Drosophila melanogaster: one gene and its partner. The protein of the gene in region 2 interacts with the protein of the main gene of each other region in a pairwise test. Each region holds a gene or a part of one and is shown on either strand. Other genes may lie near its edges.

Region 1 (3,987 bases), about 17 Mb from region 2:
AACAATAACGGTACATTACAAGTGCCAGGCAAAAGCATCGAGTTAGTTAGTTTGCCGCCACAAGTCCCCTTGGCCCCTCTCCACAACACCCCTGTTCACAATTTCTGCGGTCTTGTTAGTCTGGGCTGGCAAGTTGGTTAAAAAGTTGTTGATGCAGTTACTCCTCCTTCTGCCCGCCACGCCCCCTTTTGCGACGACATTTGTGCTAATGGCTGCCAACGACCTGGACAGCAAAACCGAACAGCCCTTGTCCCCCTCTTTTACGACGCCCCTGCCCCACATGGCAAACATGTTGCATACGCTGCGGCGTAAGCGAAAAATTTCCAGCGAACAGCTTTTTGGCCAAGCAAACACACAGCGGGTTAAGTGGGCGAGTTTGCCACAACATTTGTGTTCAAGAATAATTAAATTAAGCTGTCAGTCTGACCGAGAAAATTGCAAATACACTCAACATTATGATGCACTTTCAAATGTACACATACCATACATACAAGTTTGAACTCAAAGGGCCGATTTAATGGCAGTTCGAAACTATTATTTATTTTATTTTATTATCGACTAAACAATTAATTATTTAAACCTATTGAACGATGTAAATGGCACTTTCAAACTAATTTGTCATCGCATTAATTAATAACAATTTAATTTTAGTTCTAATAAGGAATTTGATCTTTACTGATACAATTTTGATGAAAATTTACAAGATTGCATATGTTGAATTGCTTATGAGATATGGTATTTCGTCCAAGTACAAAGTGATCCAAAATAATTTAAAAAAACTTGAAACAATTTTTAGGTACAGTATCAAAGTAATGCAAATAATTTTGAAAAATCATTCCAAAAATCATTGTGATAGACTGCGTTTAGTTCGCTTGAGGCCCTTCTGAGTTCCCAATAAATACCTCCTCCTTGGAGGTATTCTCCTTTTCCGCAAGTTCTATTTCGATGTCGTCTTCGCGAAAGGTGCCCTCATTAGGATTAGGCGATATGGGCCCCACTCTACCCTCATCCTCTAGAATGGTGAACTGTAGGTCGACGTCCAGCGTGTAGTCTTCAGTGTGCTCCTTCATTTCGCGATGTGTGAATCGCATAAAATGCGGACTGTCCGAAAGCAGATCGCAATTCTTCAGGGTCTCCGAGCCTTGACAGGTCTGAATCATCTGCCGACGTGGCACTCCCGGAGTGTTTTCTCCGATATTCACGGATACCAACAAAGGCGTCTGGGCCTGGGGACAGCACAGCCACAGAATATAGATATGGGTCACTCGCGGTCCGACGGGCATCGAGTCCCAGGAAGTCTTCCACAGCATTATCAGGACGGGCAATTGGCACTCCCAGTCCTTGTAGATATTGGGTAGATTTAAGTTCCTGGTCGCGTTGTTGCCACTCTCGTAGATCATCAGACCCACACAGTTGCTTTTGCCCCTGTCCTCGGGCAAGGATTTTCCACACAGCTTCAGAACCTTTGGCTCCTTGGGCTTCATTTCCATTGTAATAATGTGCTCGTGGTGCATCAGGCAGTGACTTAGGAGCTGCTCAGGATTGAACATCAAGTCGCAATTGCTCAGCGGACAAGCCATGTCCAGCTTCTGCAATCTCCAGTATTTGCGCACCTCGACTGCAGTATTTCTCAGCCGCTCATAGCGAATTTCCGGAGAACTGATTCTGCCATGTGGGGAAGCGGAAATGGCTTCTGCGCCGCCGCGCATGGGCACTCTTCCGCCCGCCGGAAGAGACAGCTTGCAGTCCATATACAAGCGCCTACGGTGATCGGGCATCAAGCTGGTGAAGCAGATCTCCACCTCCTCATCGGTATCATTACCATCGTTCTCGTTCTCCAGACGACATGCACTCGCCATCACAGCTTCCGGCGTGGTGTCCAGGGAGTACTCCGACTGAGCGAGATCCAGGACGGCAGATATACCAATGCCAGACTCGGAGCACCTACAGAATGCACCGGATGTCGATGGTTGCTCGCCCTCGCAATTGTTGTTCTCCATTTAGGAATTTTTAAGAAAATGTCGGTTTTTTTTTTTTGTGATTATAATTCTGTGTGAGTCGAACTGTTGACGTCTCGACGTAAAATTATACTGATGACAGAAGGTTAGAACAAATGAAATCAACTTTTGATTACTTATTTCACAAACTACTTGTTTATTTTTTTTTTCTAACGGTTTCAAGTTAATATTATGTGATTCTTTTAATGAGTTCCATGACGGAGTCACGAGCGTGGAATTATCGTCTTTAGAAGAGATTCCTAGACTGCAACTGAGACAATGCTATCAAAACTCTGGAGAACATTTTGTTGCATTTGTAATTTCCGGTTTCGCACACACATGCATACATAGTTGAAAAAGAAAATGCGAAAGAAAAATGTGTCAACATACAAGACAAAGCAAAACACAAACAAAACTCAAGTTGCCTCTGTAGAACAACGAAATGCAACTAGGGGTAAAAAGGGGGGAGGGGGAATCGCTTCCAAGGGAGAGGGCAACAGTCGGACTAGGACTGCAAACTCCCTGTGGCCACCCCCCTCCCACGCCACTACTTTCGTCCACCTCCCACTGGCAACTCCTTTAGTTTCAAATCGACAATGGAATGAACCGCCGCAGAGGAAGTGCGGTCTATTGCAGTAAAATCGGAGTTCAATCAACATATGTCAAGACCTTCAATAAATTTAAAAGATTATGACTGATTAAATCAAAACAAATTTTAAACCAATTTCATAAACCAATTTCATAATAACACTGATTATTTGGATAGCTTTTGTTAATTTATTCACTGTAATATGTATTAGATATTTAAAAACTTCTGTATAGCAAGTGTATATTTAAATTGATTCCGATTGTAATTTATTTAAGCTAATGAGGACAAGATGCATGAAGAGATAAAAACATAAATGAAGAACGTTATTTCAATTAATAAGTATTTTTTGGGACCTTTTATACATTTATGTCGCGCAACTTGGTAACAATAATAAAAACGAGCTGAGTCACGTGCTCGCGCCGTTTGTTTATGGCTTTCTCCCTTTTACTTCGCTTTTACTTCATTAGTTTCGAGGGGAAAACTCCACCTCTCTTTCCTTAGCCATGCTCCCTGGGTTTTCCGCTCTTCCCACTTGGTATCGCTTTTCCTTTTCGAGCTTTTGAGCTGCAATTGTCAGCTTACAGTGCAGCCAACCGCAAATGGCAAACAGGCCAAAGCCGCTGTATCTCTAGATTCGATGATATCTTTAAGACGGATTTTCATTGCTTACCGTTTGCTTTAATTGAGTTTTTACAATTTGATATCTACCTAAAAGGAAAGTAGCCTTCTTCATCATAAGCAACCCTCACCTGAAACAAATAAGAAAACATTTTTGTCAGCGAATCAGCATTCAAGAAGTGCTTGTATTAAGAACCAACAAGGAAAGGATTTTAAAAGGTCAATTGAAGAAAATTCAACTTTGAGCTCGCACATTTGCACGCACACAGACCCCCGGGATGCAGTGGGGTTAAGCGAAGGGTTCATAAGGCACATATCCACACATAAAGATTTCCATTTCCCTGCTGCTGTCTTGACAACAACCCAGACAACAATGTGTAAAACAATTGTGCTCGCAGTTAATTTGTGTGGTACGACAATCTAGTATCACCTCAGCACTCGAAGAAAAAACGCGCAGAACATGGGTTCTCTTATCGAAAAGGATGGAATATCGACAAGGAACCATATATTGAGCAAAGTAAACTGCGCTAATATTGTCATTATCTCCAAAGTTTATTAAGCATTTAATGATTTTAATTGCGAATATCGCCTGAAATTTTGTTCGCTTGCTGAATGCTCAGTGTATGCTGTATGATAATATTACTGCGAGTGACACTCGCACACATGGCGTATACGCAATGTGCCAAAGTTTATACGAAATTAATGTTAATTACGACGCGAGTATAGCTATCCATCTCAGTCGCACGGTCGTGGCAGCATCTGTGTCCTGTCGGGAAGTGGGCG
Region 2 (3,329 bases):
CGCATAAAGCAATAAAATGTTCTCTCGATAAGCAAAACAAAGACCATCCCAAATGAAACCCCATAGAAAAAGGCTACGAACTTCGTCTGACAGCTTGACGTCGCCTGCTAATGGCAGGGGGAAAAAAAAAACCAGAATAAATAGAATAAAGGACGGCATCTATCTACCCGAATTGATACTCTCGAGTCCCTGCCAGTTGGTCTCAGTGATTGGGAAGTCCTAAAGCTGCTAGAAGGCTATAATGAAAGTCAAACACCCACTAAAGTTCCTATGGCTGCGCTCGAAATTTTCTTTGATTATGCAAATGTCACAGCTGAGAGGGCAAAATCTGTTTCAATTGGCATCCTGATTTGTCTACAATCTATGTATGTACGAATTTCAGAATAAATGCATTAAAATAGAAGCTTTCATTGAGAAGTTCATTTTAGGATGAAGTAAGTAAAATGAAGTGCTTATATTGGGGTCAAATTCATCTAGAATTGAAATGGCATGCTAGTCATTTCGGGGAATAGTTAACTAGTGCAGTTCAATCAACTTTCCGTGCGCTTTTCCCGTATGTTTGTCACGCCCCCATTAACCCCATGGAAAAAGTGACATGACAGACAGGAATCAGACTTGAGCTGGGGCTCAATCCATCACATCAGTGCGGAAGAGACCAGTCATCATCATCATCGTTGTCGTCAGTGCGCTTGTTCCCCTCTTGGCCACCATCGTTGCCCACTGACCACCATTGTCATCCCCGTATCCGAATATAATATAGAGTAGCGGAATTGTATCTTTATTACGATAATTGCTCATTGAACAGGAAATTATTATATGCGTCCGGGGCTCGGCATGTCCTCCAATTCCAAAGCCCATCAATTTTCTTGGGGAGATGGAAAAATCATCAACCCAGAACTCAACGGGGATATAATAATAGAACAACATGCGTCCGAACAGGGTCCGTTCTTCTCCAAGGGTTACTGGTTCAGGTGGCAATGAGAATGGAAGTGGTAGTGGATTGTGTTTGGGGTTTCGGGCCTTTTAGCTGATGATGACATTTTTCTTCTTTTTTGCGGACGACGCTCAGAAATGAAAAAAAGGACATCACACACGCACAGGAAGGGGAGAGGCAAAAGACAGTGATGGCAAGTGTGGTAAGAGAAGGTACAGATCCTAGGGGTTTGGTGGCAGTCCCCGCAATGGTGGATGATAGTCACCAGCGTAATTACCATAGCCACCGCCATCACAATCGCCCTCGCCAATCAAACCGCTTGGCATCGGAGGCTCCCTCCAGTTCCACACGCCGATACTATCGCCGCCTCCCATATTTAATTCCGTCCTCCGTCGATGTAGCATTACACGCATATTGATCATGAAACGATTCACATCCCGCTGATGATCGATGCGCAATTGAATCGGTGGAATTTGGGTGATTCGACGTTCATCAGTCGATGGCTGTATATTGCGCTCTTCTTCGCCCGGCACGCGATCCATATTCAAGCGAATGCGAAAACTCTGACCTGGATTTGGCCTAAATGGATTCATTTTGAATATTTTAAAGCTGTTCTTACTGAAATTTCGATCGAAACGTTCTGCTGCTGTTGGGGATTTCGAATAACTAATATTTTTCTGACACGGTAGCACACAATACCGATTGATAGAAATCTCAATGAGACCTGAGCATCTGAAATATGTGACAAGACAAATAAAGCTGAATTGTGGAATGGTATTATGTGAAATATTGTACAAGAGATAAGAGATAACCAAAAAATTTGGATAACTAATTCCGACATAATCCGACTGGGGGACTTCCGGTGAAATATCTATGCGATCTATGTGGCCCACAAGTACACATACTTGTGTACGCTCGATGCATATTTAATTAAACTTTCACCTACTCAAAGACGACAAAGAATCTTTGGCGAGGGCGACAGGAGACAAGTCCAGAACACTTTGGTCTCTCGCTTCAATCATTTTCATGGGGTGGATTGGATGCGCTAGTGGATGTCCTAGCTCGAGGACCTGTTACTCTCATCCTGGTTCCTGAAGTACTTAAAAGCAACACGACAAGCTTTAATTAAATCAGTTTTAATTAATGCAAAATGCGAAATTTCAAAAGACGTCGTTGAGCAAGCGCTTGGCTCAAATTGCCGACAACATGGAAAACAGAACACAGAGGCGGTGAGCTCCAAAGGACCCCAAAAAGGATCCGCATCCCCTCGAACGCAACGTTTTGTTGTCGCATAATTACAACTCAATTGTAATCCAATTTTGGCCAGGCATATAAATCCGATTCAGGCACAAAGTCACGCCCCCGGCCTGGTGTCTGTGTCAACTTTTTCGGTGTCAAATAAATAAACTTTTGACAGTCGGCAGACAGGCCAGCGGGGTTTTCCGAGCTCCAACTCCGCCCGAAAAAGCCCATCCGCACACCTTTCGCTTTTTGTGGCCACCACCGGAAATGGAAATTTGTTAACAATGGTGGGTGGATTGGGTTTGGTGGCATGTATCTGGGATGCCAAAATCAATGCCCCAACAGATGGATTAGATACAGACATCTGACCACGAGCTCATCCGTTCAACCCCGTCGAAGGCAGAACTCTTGATAACTGCAAATTAGTTGCACATGTTCCACATGGGCCACAACTCAAAACAAGACGTGTTTGCACTAATTTGGCCAAAATCAACAGCTGTGTGTACATGTGCTGCCATCTTCTGCTCGCTGTGTGAGTGAAGAAAACTCATCATAACTTTCTTATCAGAAACTTACTTCTTGCTCTTCAGATACCCAACAGAAGCGTTCCCAAAAAAATAAAATAAAATAAAAGAACGGGGGAACTAGCGAGATTCTGGGGCGAAAAACGAGAAGGAAAACAGAAAAATTGCCTAGAAAACTTGTTATAATTACACACTGGCACACACACACTGGCACACGTGCTGGATGGCCGTATGTGTATGAAAGTCGTGCACTTAAAGAAATAAAAGCGACTTCGTTATTAATGAAAATTGTCTATGTTTAAATATCATAAGATTTCATCAATGATTTAACTATGTTTGAATCGATTTTTTTGCGATTTTACAACCTCTATTTCATACCATTATTTTAACATGGTTCTGTCATCTATTTTCTCCATTTGTATGACTAACTTAGTGACTGCAGGGCAAGGAATTTGGAAGGGGAGACGTGGAGAGAGGGGGAGTACGAGGGCATGCATGAACAGGCAACATATGTTGGACTTTGGAGCAAACTTTTGCGAGTTTTCGGGGCGCCCTTCCACTATGCCCCTTGTGGCAGCTCCATATATTGGCACCTCCTCATCTCCTCATCGCAGGATTTCGCCGAGTGG

Evidence for each region.
Region 1: the proteins of CG15576 (region 2) and CG1314 interact in a two-hybrid assay, tested with the Drosophila melanogaster proteins (one large-scale study listed by BioGRID).

Annotation. Positions count from the first base shown.
Region 1 is NC_004354.4:20,867,340-20,871,326, forward strand, and holds CG1314 (uncharacterized protein), read right to left. Parts: upstream 2,059-3,987; 5' UTR 2,001-2,058; coding exon 864-2,000; 3' UTR 650-863; downstream 1-649.
Region 2 is NC_004354.4:4,251,112-4,254,440, forward strand, and holds CG15576 (uncharacterized protein), read right to left. Parts: upstream 1,680-3,329; 5' UTR 1,528-1,679; coding exon 1,156-1,527; 3' UTR 759-1,155; downstream 1-758.